4 linked regions of the Kluyveromyces lactis genome follow. The protein of the gene in region 4 interacts with the protein of the main gene of each other region in a pairwise test. Links are inferred from orthologs where the notes say so. Each region holds a gene or a part of one and is shown on either strand. Other genes may lie near its edges.

What was found.
Region 1: the proteins of KLLA0_A03905g (region 4) and SHE4 interact in binary tests that used the Saccharomyces cerevisiae proteins (3 or more experiments, as listed by UniProt). The link is inferred for Kluyveromyces lactis from reciprocal best matches to the Saccharomyces cerevisiae genes MYO2 and SHE4.
Region 2: the proteins of KLLA0_A03905g (region 4) and KAR9 interact in a two-hybrid assay, tested with the Saccharomyces cerevisiae proteins (4 studies listed by BioGRID, with this or other methods). The link is inferred for Kluyveromyces lactis from reciprocal best matches to the Saccharomyces cerevisiae genes MYO2 and KAR9.
Region 3: the proteins of KLLA0_A03905g (region 4) and YPT11 interact in a two-hybrid assay, tested with the Saccharomyces cerevisiae proteins (6 studies listed by BioGRID, with this or other methods). The link is inferred for Kluyveromyces lactis from reciprocal best matches to the Saccharomyces cerevisiae genes MYO2 and YPT11.

Annotation. Positions count from the first base shown.
Region 1 is NC_006041.1:1,480,271-1,485,547, forward strand, and holds SHE4 (She4p), read left to right. Parts: upstream 1-2,234; coding exon 2,235-4,220; downstream 4,221-5,277. Other genes in the region: E3 ubiquitin-protein ligase HEL2, read left to right, coding at 1-1,022; PEX10 (ubiquitin-protein ligase peroxin 10), read right to left, coding at 1,102-2,019; KLLA0_E16721g (uncharacterized protein), read left to right, coding at 4,482-5,277. UniProt on the Saccharomyces cerevisiae protein: Required for mother cell-specific ho expression. Might be required for the transport of factors (such as ASH1) that promote HO repression from the mother cell into its bud.
Region 2 is NC_006040.1:66,687-71,708, forward strand, and holds KAR9 (Kar9p), read right to left. Parts: upstream 2,765-5,022; coding exon 1,058-2,764; downstream 1-1,057. Other genes in the region: KLLA0_D00704g (uncharacterized protein), read left to right, coding at 155-868; ATP-binding cassette permease MDL2, read right to left, coding at 3,153-5,022. UniProt on the Saccharomyces cerevisiae protein: Involved in karyogamy. Component of a cortical adaptor complex that orients cytoplasmic microtubules. It may be involved in anchoring cytoplasmic microtubules to the cell cortex.
Region 3 is NC_006039.1:1,088,850-1,093,073, reverse strand, and holds YPT11 (Rab family GTPase YPT11), read right to left. Parts: upstream 2,180-4,224; coding exon 1,058-2,179; downstream 1-1,057. Other genes in the region: TRM11 (tRNA (guanine-N2-)-methyltransferase), read left to right, coding at 1-823; KLLA0_C12859g (putative methyltransferase), read left to right, coding at 3,184-4,224.
Region 4 is NC_006037.1:347,035-352,648, forward strand, and holds the start of KLLA0_A03905g (myosin family protein), read right to left. Parts: upstream 3,437-5,614; coding exon 1-3,436. Other genes in the region: FRT2 (Frt2p), read left to right, coding at 4,206-5,468. UniProt on the Saccharomyces cerevisiae protein: Myosin heavy chain that is required for the cell cycle-regulated transport of various organelles and proteins for their segregation.

The DNA.
Region 1 (5,277 bases), on a different chromosome or scaffold from region 4:
TTGTCGTCTTCAGTGATGAGTTGGACTTAAGAGCACATATCATCAAAGAACATCCTCATCTTGCAGGTGATAGCAGAAGAGCTATGACGTTGATAGATAATACCTCAAAGAAGTTCAGATCACAAATTACTACGTTCTCCAATCCAACAAGAATTATAGATGCACAGAATGAGGAATCAAATTCTGCAAACTCAAGAGATGTCAAAAGGAGGAGAATGGAACAAAGAGCAAGACATTACCTTGGGAACTCTGAACCAGACTTCCAGTCCTTCTTAATCATCAATGACCTATTTAACAAAAACGAAATTTCTGCTCAAGAGCTTCAATCCAAATATGAAGACTTGTTTAAGCAACACGCGGATGATATACAATTACTAATTTACGATTTATCGGAGTTATATCATTCAACTTCGGATAAACACAAAAGATTGCGTGCTATATACGAAGGCATTATGAAGAAGAAAGAGAATGCAGGGAAATTCAAACCTCTCGTCGCCGATTCATCATCTTCGGTTAACGTAGTTTATGGTAAATGGGGTAAAAAGAGTTCTTCTGGTGTTGGCGGGTCGAACGTGAAGTTCACGTCTCTACCAGCTGTATCCGAACCTATATTCTCCTCCAAAGCCTCGTATACTAATTTGCGGAAAAATGGCTCTTCTTCACCGTCCTCTCCAGTTATTAGGAGCGGTTTGACTTCCAATTCATCGTCATCAACTTCTTTAAACTATGCGAAGAAGAATCAATCACCGCCAGGTTCTTCAACCGTTGTAGTGAATTCACAACCGAATGTGACAGCTATCAAATCACCTAATCCAACCAGCTTCCCCAAGTTACAAGCTACTAAGAAAAAATTTGTTGCACCTCCAGTGAAACAGACTACCATACCAAACCCATCCACTTGGGGTAAGCCTCAAAACGACAACGATTCTATCAACTTGGATTCGTTAGACAATGCATTACCAGCTAGTGGTAGTAAGAAAAAGAGCAAACAAAAACAACTACTGTTCCATATTGGCATATAGATTTAACCCCGTTATATACAGCAGATTGTTTTAATAATACAAGAAAGCTCGCTGAAACATTTAGATATTCTTCTAAGCTTTATCTAACAGGTATCGTCAGCTGTCTCGGACACCTTTGCCTGCATAATGGACACTCCTGTCTTTCTAACGTCCATTCCATGATACAATCCCAGCAGAAAAGGTGACCACACGGAGTCGCGCTGGGATCCAGCATATAGTTAAGACATAAAACACACTTACGTGAATCCTCTTTGATGAAAGGTAGGACTTCTAGATCGCTAAGATCTTTTGAGGTGTGTTTTTTAGCTAATGCACTTAAACTCTTGTGGCTCTTCCCATCATCTGTTCCAATTCTGTCAGCGATGTATTCTGCAATCTGCGGTAAAAGCTTAGAAGCTAATTGCATACCAAGTATAAAACCAAGAATCTTGTAGTTTTGCGATGACTTCTTCTTGAATTCTACCTCATTCTTGTTCATTTCATGGCCAACCACATATCTCATTCCAAATATTCTCTTTGAGATATCATAATACTGTCCGCTCAAGTAGAATATAATTAAGTGCAAATTCAAAGTGGAATCCAAGATGTCCCTGAAACTCTTGCCATTGAATACTTTCAAGAAACCAGATCCCCTCTCATTGAGCTTATACTTGTAGAATACTTTCGATAATATCCACGGTACCCCACAATAACTGATAGCGAAACCAATCCTTCGCAGGAGTCTCGCAACACCTTTTCCTCGCCTATCAACATACGCCAAATCAACGTACTCTTCTCCAAGCGTTCTCCTATACCTTAGTGTTGTAATTGACAAGTATATCAACTTGCTGAGGATCATTATCTCACTAACATACCTGTTAGTGAACTGTTGTCCCTTAACTTTCCGTAGTACATCCTGGATCTTTTGTAACAGCAAGTTTTCCACAGTATCATCCTTTTGATGCGCCTGAACTATACTAGGTGCATCAGCAAATGGGAACTTCATGTCTGGTGCCATTGCTTGTCTCTCGTCAGTTTGTGTTCTTATTCGTTTTTGAAGATGTTAGATGGTTGAAATTGATCAATTGGAGAAATGAAGTTTTATTTGATTAATCATAGGGTTCGAAACCAGAGATAACTAAACCCGATCTAACATACAGTTGTTTGGGCTGGTACCGATAGTTCAATTCTGTGAATTTATTCTTTTTGTAATTCAATAAAGATATCAACGCTATGAATAAAGTTTGGGATAGAATTGTTGGCAGTGATAGTGCCGATGCTCAAAGTGTATTGAAAGAAAGATGTTCATCTCCGAAGGACGTGACGGATTTGTTGCACGTTATTCAAAACTGGACCTCAGAGATACATAACAATGGCGAGGAAACACGATGCTGGAAGTGTGTGCCGATGCTTGCCGGTTATGTGAAGGATTGGGGTCAATTGGAGTTTCTTTGCAGAAGAATACTTTTAAGAAGTAGCATACAAGAGATACGGCCATTACTTCTTGTAACGATGAAATCGTTGATGTCCAACCATTCAGATAATACGGAGCAGAAGTGTGGGAATATACTACAACAATTGTTAATTGAAGCCGAGGAAGATTCTGGCAATGTTTCTTTACGTTTGCTTGTAGATGCTATGTCTTTGGTGTTCCCTATCTGCCTTGGCGTTTGTAGAGACATGTTTCTTTCGACAGATTTCCAGGACATATTGACTAGGAATTTGAATTCTTCAGCGGATGATGAACATCTTGTAAACGGGGCTCTTCGTCTCTTGGCTGTTTCCTGTATTGACGAAGCAGTCAGAAGATTCATTGCAGAGCATTACCTTAAGACGTTACAACAATCATTTAAGGTCGAGAAGTATAAAGTACTGACTGCGTTGGTTTTGATCAAGATCTGGTCATTCACTAAGATAGAAAAGGAAACTCTTAACTCTTGCATCAACCTTTTCATCGACTCGCTTTCGAATGGCGAAAATATCGAGATTAATACTGAAGCTTTAGCTTACTTGACATTGAAGCCCTCTGTCAGAGTCTTGCTACGAGGTAACGGTGATGTATGTTTGAAAATAATCGAGCTGATCAAGTCACAGGACACTACACCGACTGATCTATACGGACTCTTGATTATATTAGCAAACGTAAGTGAGCACCCGTCACAGAATGAGGATACAGTCGATAAATTAAAAGCTTCATTGAAAACCAACCAAGAAAAGAATGACGAGCCGACATTGGAAAATGTTAAGGACATAGAAGAGTTTAACCGTGATTATATTATCGATTTAGACTTGATCGGTTCTTTAAAATCGATAAAACTATCCACCTCATCTTACAATCAAGCCATAAGAATCATATATAATGTGACAAGAGATAAAACACAGATATCAGAATGTGTGAAACAGGGTGCTGGATTGATGCTCTTGGTATTTTTAGCACAAAAAAGGAACCTTTCTAAAGATGAATGGTATCTTCTATCGATAAGAGCACTATCGAAAACACTCATCTATGTGAATCCAGAGACTGCGTTCAGCAAATATTCACCGTTGAGCGCAGCACCGTTCTTATTTGAAAATTTACCTTTACCAAATGACAACGCTTTATCGGAACTTCAATTCACACAATTAGATACTTACGAAGCATTATTAGCGTTGACAAATTTGGCTACTATAAACCAGGGAGTAGATCTCGGCAAAATCATCTTGAGTAATGCTCAGTATTGGGATAGTATAGAGAATCTCTTATTGGATTCATCGGTCAGAATTCAAAGATCGACATTAGAACTTATTTCCAATTTAATGTCCAATCCAATGGCTATCTCTGCAAAGTTCTTCTGCTTTGAAAACCCTAAGAGTGCACAGAATTTCGAAATACTGGTCAAGCTTCTCGAACTTCACGATATACAATCTCAGAGAGCCGTTGCTGCCATATTTGCCAATATTGCAAGCACCGTTCCGTTCATTTGCAAAGAACTATCTGAGAAGCGAAACCTTATCGAAACAGCAATAAGAGTCTTTAAAACACAAAACACGGATACAGACCTCAGGATAAGATTACTCGTACTCTTGTCATCTATCTTCAACGCCAATGCGCATGCTGTCGCATGTGTCAAGAATGATGAAGAATTTGTAAAAGAATTGCAAAAATATCGTAATACTCCATCTCAAAAAGATCCATTAACACCAGAATTATCGAAAGAAATACTTTCTCTAATCAATTGATATATAGAACAATCAACAAGGTATAGCAGTATGCGATTTGTACATCCTTTTATATCTCATCTCAGCCTATATTTGTCAACGGGAATGAGGCTGGATAGACTGCTCAAAATGTAAAAAAAGCCTATAGCCCGATTTAACCAAACACTTTTAAATACTTAAACCAACGATCAAAGAAAAAGCTACATAAAGGACCTGAGCTAACCATACTGTCTATAACCATCAACTTGCTTAAATACTAAACCGAAAGACAGCTTACATATTATGACAGCTGAAGAGGTCGATAAGGAATCAGATCCTGCAATAGAAGATGTTAAATCGGATTATGACGCAATTGAACTTGGGAATGAGAATGAGAATGAGAATGAGGTTGTATCATTGGATTCAATGAAGGCAGTTATATCCAGGGCTTCTAGCGAGCTTAAGCACGAAAATGATCAAGGTGAGGAGCGTGATTTGGGTAGTGTTGAGAAAGATCCGATTCTTGAGAGGTATCATGCAGCGTGCAAACAAGGTGATATGAAAACTCTACGCGAAATGGTGGAATCGAAAGTGATTGATTTATCGAATGATTATGACCCCAAGGAACGTGTATCTGGACTACATTGGGCATGTATTAACAACAGATTGTCTGCAGTTAAGTATCTAGCTGGTGCAGGTGCAGAAGTAAATTTTAAAGGCGGCGAACTTGACGCGACGCCTCTACATTGGGCATCCAAGTCCGGTTTAGTGTACATTGTGGATGAGCTCTTGAAAGCCGGTGCAGATCCTAATATTACCGATAGCCAGGGCTACAATTTACTTCATACAAGCGTTTTCTCATCCAATATCATGTTAGTGATATATGTCCTTTTTTTCGTCGTTGATGGGAAAGAGGATGTGGATCAACCAGATCCGCACCAAAGAACTGCATTGCAGTGGGCCACTTACCAGGCAGATGCGTTGACTGTGGAAAATCTACTTAAGTTTAACGCAGATGTCAAGAACGCAGATGATGCTGGTTTTACTGCTTTACATTGGGGTACTGTGAAGGGAAGTATTCCTGTTATGGATCTCTTGA
Region 2 (5,022 bases), on a different chromosome or scaffold from region 4:
AAATTGCATATAAAGGGACAATCGTAGAGAATACTACCACCGACGAGTTATGTGATGGCATTTCTGTATGTTCATGAATCATTTATCTTTCCCCGTTGAGTGTGCTTCGTAGGTTGACAAGAGTCATTAACTCATATAATAATTCTGTCTGAAAATGACCAAGGTTCTAATTGCATTAACATGTTACAACGATACGTTTTACGCTGATGGTACGAAGACCGGTGTCTTTGTTGTGGAAGCGCTACACCCTTTCAATTATTACAAGGAACAAGGTTATGACGTCGACTTTGTTTCAGAGACTGGTAAGTACGGTTTCGATGAGCACTCTTTGTCAGCAGACTTCTTAAGCGGCAAAGACAAGGAGCAATTCGAAGACAAGAACTCTGCGTTCAACCAAGCTTTAGCCAAAACAAAGGTTGCTGCTGATGTTAACCCATCCACCTATAAAATCTTCTTTGCCTCTGCCGGCCACGGTACGTTATTCGATTATCCAACTGCCAAGAATTTACAAAAAATAGCCTCTGATATATATGCTAATAATGGTGTTGTGGCTGCTGTTTGCCATGGTCCGGCAATCTTTGATGGTTTGACTGATAAAGATACTGGTAAACCGTTGATTCAAGGTAAAGTTATTACTGGTTTTACCGATATTGGTGAAGAAATCCTAGGTGTTGCCGATATACTAAAACAAAAGAAGTTAGATACTGTGGAAGATATCGCTAAGAAGTATCATGCAAAGTACATGGCCCCAATTGGTCCATGGGATGATTTTTCGATTGCTGATGGTAGGTTAGTTACGGGTGTCAATCCAGCATCGGCTAGTTCAACCGCAAAGAGAACTGTTCAAGTATTGAATAGCCTTAACTGAATTCCCTTTAGTATTTTTAATGGAGTGAAATAATTCCTGTTAATTACGTCAGGCATTTTGTCAGTAGCTACTTTTGTATGGTTTATTATGTAAGCTAGATAATTACCTATTAACAAAGTTAGTTTATCCTGATTATTGTATTTATAGTGTTACAATGGAATGGACTATCTGGAGCTAGTCCGGAAGGCACTAAGATACATAGGATACGGGAAATTTCAGTTGGTGATTATCCTTTTTTACCCAGTTGGCATCGAAATTGAATAAAATAGTACGATGTGGAATGATTTTCTGTCTCTGGAAAGGAAGTCTGGGGATGCGTGTCGGGAGTTTACCGTACTGTTTCAATCTGTTAATATCATATGCTCGGGATTCAAGTGTTCCCAAAATGGACAGTTGTTGTTCAAAAGAAAGAGCAGGTACTTTGTTAAAGTTAAGTACCTTTTTTGGACTTAATTTAGTAGCTTGGCAAGGATCAAAAAATGGATTGGAATATCTGTGGCGGTCACATTTCACATTATCGCTGTTTGAATCATTTTCATCTCCTTCTCTTACCAAGACAGGTTTGATATTCATTTTCTTAAATAATATCGCCCCAATACTAGACCTGTTTGAACCTGGCTTCTCAGATGGTGCATCGTTGAGCCGAAGCTCGGAGATGTCATTGGAAAGCTGTGTGATAGTTTTATTTGGATCATTTTCATTTTGGTGTTCCGGCAGTAAGTGTTCAAATTTTGTATTTAATTGTAGCCACTTTTCCGCATGTTCGTTGGTAACGGTTGCAATTGATTCATTCAATATCGAGCTTTCAAGAGCATTGTATATTATACCGAAGGTCTTATCAATAGTGTACGATTTGCTTCTCAATTGATCATGCAGTTTTGTTTTCAGCTGCTCCGAAAGATCAGGGTTGCCTACCTTCAGCAGCAGTTTCTCCACATCTTTCAGCATAATCCGTAGCTCGTCATTCAAAGTTGTAAATATGAGAACCCATTTCTCATCAACAATTGCTTGCTTTAGGTCTCTGAGTTCAACTTGTAGTAGTTCATACTTATCCAATATATATTGGTATTTCTTTCGCAGCAATCGCATGAGATATTCCAAATTGACAACATCACGGGTCTCGAAGTTATCTAATCTTTCTGAAAGGACATGTTTTAGTGACAAATCTATAGGTGCCGAAGAATCTTCCAACTGTGTAAGCTTTTCATGAATCTTTTGCTCTGAAGGAGAAAAGGCAGGGATCTGAAGTCCTTTGGTAGGAGAATTTGTTGAAGACAAAGTTTTAATCAATTGATCCAAAGTGAAAGTAGGTTTATTATGTCTTACAGGAGATTCAAAGTTTTGCTCTTGAAGTTCAATGCATTTAGACAAATTGTTTTCTATCTCTTCATCTAGACTGTTCATATGATCTTTGAATATTTCGTTGAACTCTATGGCGGTGTCGAACAGGTTTTTTAATGATGAGATGATTGGTTTTATGGACACTAATGTATCTGATATCTCCTCTAATAAATCAAAAAGTGCAGTCAACTCCTTCTGGAATAGTTCATCTTCATTACACCCAAATTCCTCTTCGATGATTTCCATCAGATGCAGCAACACCTTTTCGATGGTCTTTATCCCGTTGAAGAGCTGATAAAATTCAGATCTTCCCTCTTGAATCCAATCAAAATACGGTAAGAGTTGAGAAACGCTCACATCATCAGAAAACAGCTCTGCCAACAGTGTATGAGACTTTAACAGTAATTCTGCCAGACTACACAAGTGCTGGTTGGTGCTATCCAAATCAAACTGATAATCATCAAAAAACAAAAGAATATCTTGATATTGCTGTGAATTACTCCTCAATGAGATAGATAGTCTCTCATGAGGAAATCCTTTCAGCTCCTCTGCCATAGTATAGAAGCTTGCTGAAGCACACCTAGTGTGGACAATGGATCTCTGCTTCTCTATCGCCTACTGTTTTTCCGTTTCGTAACCCCATGCCTTTGTTTACATTTTAACTAATCTTAATTATTGATGATTTCATTTGAAGTAACGGGAAAAGTTGCTTGGTAGATAAGGCACGTAGAGGTCAGGAAGCTTGCAACATCAAAAGATTAATGCTTAGATGACTTCCATGGAGAGCTGAAATTATATGAATATTAATATATTTGTTTGATTGGTACCTTGTATGTTGTTTATGTGTATATTTATATGTTAATAATACATAGTACCAACTCTGGTGCACTTGTAAGATACCTATGCAGTGTAAGAAAGGAAGGTGGGAAATTTCTTCAATTACTCATGGCCTGAGCGTTGAAGTTTTTTGATCGTGACTGATATCTTCTAAAACTTGATGTATAACTTCTTCTTGCAGTCTCTTCTCGTTCTGATCTTGTGAGTTTTCTTCGTGGTCAGAATTTTGATCTTCACCAGAATCATCTTTGCCATTTTCTTCTGTTTGTGGCTCAGATTCTTGAGTTATGGCAGGTGGAGCGTATTGTTGGTGCTGGGAATGCTGCTGTTCTGAAGGTTCTGTCAATAATTTGTGTAAAGCACTATCATGGTTGGCGTAAAGATCTTTGAACTTACCCATTTCCACAACTGAACCATCGATGCCAAGTACAATAACATTCTCGGATCTTCTGATTGTGCTCAATCTATGAGCAATGCTGATAATAGTTAATTCTTTGCTCTTCATTAACCTCCCCAAAGTGTAGTTGATAGCGCCCTCACTTTCAACGTCTAGGGCAGATGTAGCTTCGTCGAGAATCAAAATTTTAGGTTTATTTAATAACGCTCTAGCGATAGCAATACGTTGTTTCTGTCCTCCACTGAGCAAAGCACCACGAGGCCCAATGATAGTTTCGTAACCATTAGGGAATTTAGATATGAAAGCATGACAGAAGCACTTTTTTGCTACAGATCTGATTTCTTCCATTGAAGGTTGCCTAGAGACACCATATGTAATATTCTCTCTTATAGTACCAGACATTAATATTGGCTCTTGTTGTACCACACCAAGTTGTCTTCTAAGGGATTTCGAACTTAATTTTGTAATATCTTGGCCATCAACCAAGATTTTACCGGATGTTGGATTGTAGTACCTCAACAATAACGAGGCAATTGTAGATTTCCCTCTTCCTGATGGACCTACAATACATACATTAGAACCTGGCTCTATTGTAAAGTTGAGATCCTTAAAGATTTGATTTGTTTTTCTTGTTGGGTAACTGAAAGAAACATGCTGAAACTCAACTTTACCATTTAACGGTTTAAACGCCTTCCCGGTAGTTGATTTAATAGTAGGTTTGTAATCAAGCAATTCAAACAATCTCGTAGCTGCACCAGCACCCTTCATCAATTCCGAGTAAAAGGTGGAAAGACCAAATACTGCACTTCCAGTGTATTCAGTATAGAGCATGAACGCAGTTAAATCACCGATTGTAAGGTTTCCTTGTAAAACAAGATGCGATCCATAGGCCAATACCAGCAAAAATGAGAAATCACCCAACACATTTGTACTACTGAAAAAAGTCGCATTTGTGAAAGCTTCCTTCTTTCCAACATTAAATACCTGTCTTACAGCGTTGTTATAGCGATGCACTTCTTTCCCTTCTGCAACAAAGGATTGGACAGTTTTAATCCCGCTTAGTTGTTCCTCTGCGACTTTGGTAAGATTACCAGAGGCCTGTTGTAATTCTCTAGAGATTGCTCTAATCTTGTTACCGTAAATGGTTGCGCCAACAAGTAGCGGTGGAGCAAATAGGAAGAGTACACTAGCTAATGTACTCGATATATGGAACATCATGCCAATACCAACACCACCGCAAATCAAAGCTTTGAAACCATCTGAAATATTTTGAGTCATAGATCTAGACACTATGTACGCATCTGCACCTAATCTGGATAACAAGTCACCAACCTTGTTTCTGTCATAAAATTCCATATCATGATGCATAGTCTTCTTGATAACGTTTGATCTTAATCTGGCCACAAGTCTTTCCCCTAATATCTTAAGGAGTACTACTCTTCCAAAATTAGCCATGGTTCCTATCAACAAGGCCCCACCGAATAAAAGGAAAAAGTCATATAGCTGTATGTCTCCCACAATTGGGGGAAGATCATCCAAAGTAAGACTTTTCGAATCTTCCAACCCTCCATTGCCGTTA
Region 3 (4,224 bases), on a different chromosome or scaffold from region 4:
AGAAAAGATCTATTTCGGAAGGTTAATTCAACTAAGCGATCGTGCACGGGGTGCACTAGAGAAGTATGACTTGAAAAAGAGACCTTACAAAGGAACCACATCATTTGAAGCTGAATTATCACTGGTAAGTGCAAATATTGCACAGGTAAAACCAGCACATATAATGTATGATCCATTCGTTGGTACTGGTTCATTCCTGGTGGCTGGTGGCCATTATGGTGCTCTTGTCTTAGGGTCTGATATTGATGGTAGGATGATCAGAGGGAAGGGACAACAAACTATCAAGGCAAATTTCAAGTATTATAAAGAGTCTATCCAATTCCTGGACGTCATGACAATGGATTTTACGCATAATGCATTGAGAAAGGACTTTGTCATTGATACGATCCTTTGTGATCCTCCATACGGTATTAGAGAATCGATTAAAGTTCTTGGAGCAAAGGATCCGGAGAGATTTGCTGGGAAAGAGGATGTGGAAATTAACGGTCAAAAAGCTTATCTACTTAGAGACTATATTCCAACTAAAAAACCGTACTCTTTAGATTCCCTATTAGACGATTTGTTGGATTACGCAAGTCAAAGACTCCCCATTAATGGTAGATTGGCTTTCTGGATGCCCACTGCCAATGACGAGAATGTTGCAACTATAATTCCTCTTCATTCGAATTTGGAACTGAAGTATAACTGTGTTCAAGATTTCAATAAATGGTCTAGAAGATTATTGGTGTATATCAATAGAGGACACGAATTTAATGGACCCAACAATTCTGGTTTGAGTAGAACTGGTAATTTCAGAGATAGATACTTCAGCGGGTTCAATTGATATTATTGGACCTGATATAAGGCTAATAATAGACATCTGCTCACTCTAGCATTACACTATAATATGTATCATTAGTTAAAATACAAATTAATATTTATAAAATCGATATTATTACATTTATTATACACAAAGTTACAATGACTGACAATATTATACAATATTATACATATTCCTTGCATATCATCTTCCACTGCCAATACTTGGTATCATGACGCTATAACTTGAAATTCATTACTAAGTGCAGCAGGAACTCGTGGAGCCTGGGTTTGAACCATCGTCGTTTTGGTTATTCAATGGTTTATTCAAATCCACAGTTTTGGATTTATTCTTCATTAATCTCTGTCGCACGCCACGGGGAGTGCCTGGAATATCCTCCAAACTACTTTCACTATCTTCTGATTGGTCTGATGAAATTACTCTAAGCTCTCTGTCATCCTCATAACACCCGCTTTCTACCAAATCTTTAATAATAATATTGAATGTCCTTTCTACCACATTCTCCCATTTACAACTAACTTCAAAGTTACCTGATATTTTTATATTATAATCTTTCTCAATCCTGGAAATGAACTGAAGTACGTCTTCATGCGTAACTTTCCTTTCCTTATATAAATCGAGTTTGTTCCCCACTAGATAAAACCGTGTCATGCTCAAATTAGGAATATTCTCAATGGATTCAACCAACCAGAAGTTCAAGCAATTCAGGAAACTATTGAAGTCACATATATCATAACTTAAAATCACTCCATTAGATCCTTTATATAATGAAGAAATCATAGCATTCCTATATCTCTCTTGTCCAGCAGTGTCCCACATAATAACTCTGAAAAATCTATTGTCTATATTCACCAAATTTGTCTTTATATCTATCCCAATGGTCGAAGTAGTATTAATCTCAAAATCAGAATCATCAGCCATCGGGGAATTTTCGAAATCATTCAAAGAGTACCTCTTCCGTTTGGCAATACTCTTAACCCTATTTAGTTCAGATTTCGAGAAGCCATTACTTCCTGCAGGAGAGTTGTCGATATTTTTTTTGAAAGCTTTTGTACTTATCCTAGGTAGTTCATTGCAATATGATAATATCATTGCCGTTTTTCCCACTCCGGCGTCACCTATAAGTAATAGCTTGATATTAGATGAATCTGTCAAAGAATCGAAGGAAATATTTCTAGCATCATTGGGATTGATCCTTAGAAAGGAATGTCTAGATTGCTGTCCGGTAGGATTTCCATTGCTCAACCCCAGTCCCACAGAAGCCGTTGGTGGTGCTGAAGAGAAAAACCTTGGTTCTTCGGGAATTGTCGGTGATGAAGGCGCACTGATTATTAGAGAGCGACGTTTACGAGAAGTCATTACTTATACACTCATAAATGCAAAAAAAAAAAACACAAAACACAAACACACGCCAACTTCTACTGAGTGAATATTAGACTCTTCTTATGCAACGTATTCCTGGTAACTAACTCCAGGTGTCGTAATTTACTTCGAATTTGAAACACACAGGACCCTAAACACCAACACTATTAATCAAATAAGATAGGAAGAGAGGATTGGATGGACAATCGATATAAGCCTTCGTTCAATTATTAACTCAGTTCCATACACCAACGAACAATACCCTTCAAACCCTTGGTGAACCATGAGTTTACCGATAAGAAAGGAGATTCGTTCCCAATCCTGGTTCTTTGTATGTTAGCTAACGGCCTTTCGATTGGATATTTATTTTTTCGAAAATCACCAGAGAAACTGCACAGACAAAAGTTTAACCTTTGATTCGAAGAAAATGCGTGAAGTCAATGAACTGAGCTTGACTTCTTATATATAGCATTTGCGGTTATTCCTGTTACTGCCACTATCGTTTGTAAATTGGAACCACATAATACCGGATATTAAATCTTCGGGTTACTGCAGGAGAAGTAATATGTATTTTTATAGTACGGTTTATGACAGGTCAACGAAATAAAGGATTGAATAAACCTGAGCATATGAGTTCATTCGACAAGGCGGGTTAAAAGTAGTTGAGTTGGCTTGTTCACTGATTTGACCCGACTTTAAACTGACATCAGAAACCTTACCGGAAAACGTTGCTCCTTTTGACTGTGCGGGTTGGTTCGAGCATTGTTTTTTTGGCCCTCTAGACAGGTGACACGACGTTTTTCCGGATTACCGAAAGAGCAACTAGTTTTTCTTGAAAGTGTATATAAGAAGAGGAACCAATTGTCCATTGCCAAATAGGACACGAATCAAGTTCATCTTGAATTAGAGAAGGTAGATCGTTTTCAATTTGTATCTTTCGAAAAGCTTTGCAATTCAAAATCCTTCGAACCCCATCCACAAGTCAAATTGAAATATATATTATGAGCACCGACATTCCAAGAGTCTTTTCCACCGGTGACAAAGGTACCTTTGGTCAATTCACCGCTGAAGTACGTTGGCCAACCATCTTGCAGAACGCTTATGATGACTTACAACTGGCAATAAATGAAACGAATAGTCAATTAGCTAAAGAACAAGGTGAAATTATCAAGAAACAGATTGCTGGATTGAAACAAGATGTTGAAAATGATGCTAAACCTACTCTTTTACCTGAACAATACAAGGACTTTAACGAAATTTTGAAAGAAAATGACGGTCAGACATGGTTGAACGGCGATTGGTTGTTCTTAGAGATTTTATTGTACAGAAAGGTTAATATTTTTTTCAGGGAACAATCTGAATGGGATGACTTTGACATCTTTCAACGTTTGAAGACATCCACGTTTGAATCTTCGAAAAATGGTGTTCTTGATCTAGCAACTTACTACCATGGTGTGATAGAAAAATTTAACGGCAATGAAGATGCTATCCCACCTTTATTCCAAGAATTTATTGAAATCTCTTTGTGGGGTAATGCGACCGATTTGTCCTTGTTGGCTACTGCCACATTGGACGACATCAATGCCATTCAAAACTCTGCTAACAGATTGAAACAAAAATCGAATATTCTGATTGATGACTCTGAGAAAGCCTTCCAATATTTGAAGTCACAAAAAGGTACCGGTCGTGTCGATTTCGTTTTGGATAACTCCGGTTTCGAGTTGTACACTGATCTGTTGTTTGCCGTCTTCATGCTAGATTTTGATTTGGCATCGTCTGTTGTAATGCATGGTAAAGATATTCCATACATGGTCAGCGATGTTATGATAAAAGATTTCAATGACATCATTGCTCAGCTTGAGGATCCAAAGTTTTTCCCAGTGGAGGACAGAACTCATTTGGATTTTATCACTAAGAGAATCAAAGAGTACGTTGAACAGGATAAGATCTCTATAAAAGCACATCCATTCTGGACAGGTCCATTGGATTACTGGAACATCGATCCTTCTGAAACCAAGTACGGTGGTGCAGAATGTCACAAA
Region 4 (5,614 bases):
ACATTTTGTATAGCTCATCATTAATTTGAGACATTAACGCTGAAACATCTTCAGTATTGAAGTTATTGTTTATGGAAACAACATTCAATTGTTTTGGAGAAGAGCCATCATTCAAAGTACTATTTGCCGAGAAGCGCCTGTTTTTTACCGGAGTAGCGTTGATGCCTCCTCCTACATATACACCAGAGCGCATAGAGGACTGTAAACGTGCAACTTCCTCCTTTAAAGAAAAAACTTCTTTTTTTAGATCGGCGTTTTCTGATTGAGATGTTAGAAGCTCATCTCTCGCGGATGTTAATTCTTCCAAAGTGGATGCAATTTCATCTTTCAAGTTCTTCTGCTTGTTGAGAAGTTCGTCAACTTCTGCCTTTGCAGAGATGATTTCTTCTTTTGCAGCAATCAATTGGTCGTTAACCTTTCCGTATTCTTCTTCGTGTATACTCTTTTGGTCGGCCAATGCCTTGGTATGACCTTCCTTTTCTTCCTCCAAAGAGCTTTTAATGTTTTCAGATTCGTTTAGAGATTTTTGCAAGTTTTCCAAACGTGAAACAAGTTCCTTATTTTCCTTTACCTTAGAAGCAAGAGATTCCGTCAATTCAATGACCTTGTTTTCAAGTTTATAACTGACTTCCTGTAGGTGATTAACGGATTTGGCTTCCGATTTTAGTTGTTTTAACTTTCTTTGAGCATAGTGCTTTCTAATGAAAGATTGGATGACCACGGTGCCCTTCTTCTCATGTAGGAAACTTTTTCTTGGTTGGAAAGATCTTACGCTCTTTTGAATCGTAACAGCGGCATCGCCTCTGCGCCTTTCCAATAACTCTTTACAGGTAATTTGCTTTCTAGCCATGGATTGAATTCTAATGATGCTGATGATTATACTGGAAACGTTATCCCTCACAGAAATACCTCTATAGGCACTTTGAATCAATAGAGCTGCATTATTCTTGAATTCGTTCTCAGTTCTTAATCTTATGATCTTACCACTAACGTTTGCCTGTAGCCTTTTGATTGCATCGACAGTCCGTAGATATGTTTTACGATAGTGAAGACCCTTAATTTTTTTCTGGATCATGACAGAGGATGAGAATAACTTATCGGTTCTTAGCTTTTCCAAATGTGCTAGCATACCAGCTTTGAAGAAAATTTTTGTATTACCAGCCTGATACTTTGCAGTATCATCCATTGTACGTTTCAGGATCTCCTTACATAAGTTCTTTACATCTTCTTCAGATGGATCCGATAGTAAAATATTTGACCAAAGCTCTGATGGTACTAATATATGGTATCTGAGGGCAAACTCTGTGTATGTCCACCTCGATGGGAACCCTGCACAAGAAATTCTAATTGTTTCCAAGACACCACATGCTCTAAGCTGTGACAAAACCATAAGATTGTCAAACTTCCATGCTTCTTTGTCTTCGTTAGGTTTGATACAACGAATGTAGTGAACGTTAGTGGAGTTGATAGTTTCCATAAGATCGATCAACGATTGTTTAAACATAGATCCTAGAGTTGGTTTTCTTACGATTTTTCTTGAGGCTGGACCGGGTTTCTTTTGACTTTCTTGCTTTTGGGCTTGTTTCTCTGCCAATTTTTCCGCATTTTTGTCAACAGTTTCCAAAATAGATAGTAAAGTTTCGTTGTTAGAAGCCTTTAACACTTCAAGATGTCCATCAGAAACTGTATCTCTATTCTTTTCGATAAATCCGTCTACATCATAAGTGACGTCCAATGCATAATGGCTAACAATAAATTGAGTTTGGCCGAATCTTGGTTTGGAGAATACTTCATTAGTTGGAGGTTTATTCAAAGTTTCATATAGTTTATGCGTCCATCCTTCATCCGTACCAGCAGGTAATCTTGATTCTTCGTCTAATAATGATAAAATACCAACTTTGTTCTCAATTAAGTCAATACACGGTTGATTATCGTTGAACTCGATAAACGACCATTCAATCTGTTCCTTTACGTACTCCTCTTGTTCTAGTTTGAAAACATGTTGGTTGAACTCTTGTTGCAACTTTTCGTTAGCGTAATTGATACAGAACTGTTCGAAAGAATTCTTTTGGAAATGTTCAAAACCATAGATATCCAAGACACCGATAAAAGTATATATCTCGCTTACCACTTCAGGGTTACATAGCACGGTGTTTATGTTGTCCACTAACCAATCGAATAATGCTGAATATATGAATTTCGCCACAGAATCACGAGAAACTATGGCTTGGTGGTAAGGTAGGGATGAGACGATCTTTTCAGACCTGGTAACGATCTGTTTCTTCGTTACCCATTTAGCGAAATCAAAAGCGTCTATACCTAACAAATCTGCCGCTATTTGTAGGTTTGGTTCATCAGATGACAAAGAAGCATCATTTCTGACCTTTTTAACTTCGATGTTACCAATATGAAGAAGGGCCGCCAAGATTTTAAACAGCTGGAATTGAGTATCCTTTGAGATACCAACCAAACTCAATGCTTCCACAGTATCACCGTATTCAGAGGCGTCATCGACACCTTCGATATGAGAGTCACCGCCCTGATTCATATAATGGTAGTCTTGTATGTCTGTAAGTTTCAACTGAGATTTTTCATCGTCGGATAAACCTGATAATATTTGATAGAAAATGTGGTAATTCCTTTCAGTTTTCGGTTGGAAAACCAACCTAGAACGTTCCAACAAATATGTTCTCACTCTGGCACCAATGATTGAAGTATCGTCATCGAAGAGAATTTCCAAATATTTACCGAATCTGGAAGAGTTGTCATTCCTAATAGTCTTAGCATTACCGAATGCTTCCATGATTGGATTAGTGGCCAATATCTTCTTTTCAGTTTCAGACATTTCCAAATTATGATGTGCGTTTTCCTCATTATTTTCTTCCACACTAGCGAAATATCTCATAATATATTTAGCCGAAACAGTCTTACCTGCACCGGATTCACCAGAAACGATGATTGTTTGGTTCTGATCTGTTGTCTTCATCAACCTATACGCTTCCTCTGCGATAGCAAAAAGATGTGGTTCCAATTCACCTCTAAGTTTCCCTGCATATGCCTGGATCATCTCCTGAGAATATAGTTGATCCACACGATCAAAGGGATTTGTGGCAATGAGCACGATCCCTGAATAAGTATAGATATTCAACTGGGCATATCTGGCCTTAATAGCATGTAAAACTGCCGGTTCATTCAAATATGACAATGACGTCAAATCCTCCGTAGTCTCAAGGATTGGAGGGTTCCTAAGTAGGGGTAAACTAGGCTCTTTGGTTTCATCTAAAGAAGACACTAAAAGCTCTACTTTCTGTCCATCCTCCAAAGTCAATTCCAAATTATAGGAATCTCCCTGCAAGGTATGTTTAGTAACTTCAGCACCGATCCATCCTTGATCTTTGCTGGGATACCAGCAGCGAGTCCCGACTTCGTACGGCATCCTATGCTGATTAACGCTTAAAACCTGAAATCTAAGATCAAATCAAATAACCAATAATTGAATCAGAAAAAGCCAACGAGCACTCAATTGAATCTGCAATGACACACGGCAATTAAAATCAAAACAGTCTCCTATTGCTTCGTACTGCTAGTCACAAGGATACACGGTGTCAGATGCCTCGCTCCCTGTATTTTCCGCTCTACTCTTCTCCTGAAACTCGTGAATCTAAATAAAACACATATAAATCAAATAAGATATATATTTGTTGTTCAAAAGATCCCACTTTTTTTTTGTTTTTTTTTTTTCCCTTCTGTTGTCCCAAGAGCTTTTTAAGTGGACTAAACAAATAGCAGGGATTCAACCTTTCGCGTCAGCGCGCCAGCAACGGATAAGCATGCAGTGAGGTAAACTTGTAGGGATATTTTCGCCTTGGTGGGGCGAATATTTGCTTATGGGGCCTCAAATTAGCCTTTTAAAAGGGTGATTTTTAGTCACGTGTAAATCACATGCACTATCCGGGTAATAGCGTTCCTGGTTCGTCTCTTCATCAGACAATTTCTATTCCAACATGAATAGAGGAAGTCGGTAGGTGGAGATAAGGCGCAGCTATCAAATAAGAATTAGATAGCAGCCTGGTTTCATTTCGTGGCGAGTAAAGACGAAAATATTTCATGGAATGAGGTTTTAGAGTTGAAATATTTTTGCTGAGGAGATTACTTTGTGAATAGGAACTTTAAACTCAAACTCAAACTCAAAAATTCGAAGTCTAATGGAGGTTAGCCATCGTGAACATACCAACCATATTGGATCCCAGGTTAACCCTTTGTTCCGCGGGTCCGTATTTCATAAGAATGATGCCGCAGATCTACGAGTCCCTTGGGATGGGAAACGTCGTAAATCTGGTGCTTCGATCAATTCTAAGACTCAGATGGGGGATTTGACCGAATTCAATCCGTCTCATCATGCCAGTAATAAAAACATTTACCATGACGATATTACGTGTGGTTCTTTAAGGTTTAGTGATGCGTTATTAGATGGCTCGTTCAAATGTCAGGATGAGCATTCTAGCAATAGATCTGGACATATGGCTAGTAGTAAACCGGGGAGCGGTAACAGTAGTCTGGGTCTTCTAAAAAATCAATCATACTCTAACATATCAATTTCCTCCACTCAATCATTTAAGAAAACGCACACGAAACTGTTAAATTTCTCTCAGTTGAAGCCCGACCTCACAACAGCATCGTCTTTTGAATCACAACCTTCTAAGGGCAACTCTTTGGCAAGACAGTTTCTTGAGACCGCTTCAAAGGCAAAATGCAACAGAGAGATAATACCGACCTTATTTTATTCCCCATCTGCCAACAGCTGCGGTGATACTTCTGGAGCGCTTGATTATTTGTCATCAGGGTTTACTGACAAACTTTTCCCCATATTTAACTCTAAGGAAACTGATCCAAAGGACATGAAGATAGACGTAGATTGTAAAGATATACCAGAGTATTTTGCAATGGATTACATCAAACATATACACAGAGATTTGACGGCATTGGAATTTCGTCTAAAACATTTCCTTATGAAAGTTATCTTACCGCAAGAGATGGATTTTACTCAGAACATCAACCATGTATCCAACCTTTCTAAATCAGTTACACAACTCCACATGGACATTGAAAAAATTAAACATGATACCAAAGATATATATTTGGAAAAATTGGCAGCCGCGTTCAACGGGTCTGATTCAGAATCTTTCGTCAGTAAACTTACCACACTAATGGACTCGCATGTTTCTCGATTACAGGCACTAGAAGGGAAAACTGTTGATTTCCAGAACGAATTGGAAGCTAAAAAGCTGCAACTTCGTAAGTTAGAGAATCTGATCAAGTTAAATGACATGATCGGCGACTTCAAAAGGAACATGAAATTATCTGAAAAGTTGAAAGAATATTATGGTACATTTGGTGATGTGACTGTGTTAGCCCTATCGATATCGTTAATAATGTATTTATTTAGGCGCTGGTTCGCCTCAGAATAAGACGAAGTGGATGAAACCGTCTTAAGTTTGGCATTCACACACAACAGTAGGTCGAAGACAAGTAATTAATATGTATTTATATAGGAACCAATTATGTTTCGTCTTCCTTTCTCAATTCTCTGGGGCATGGGATATACGGTGAAGCA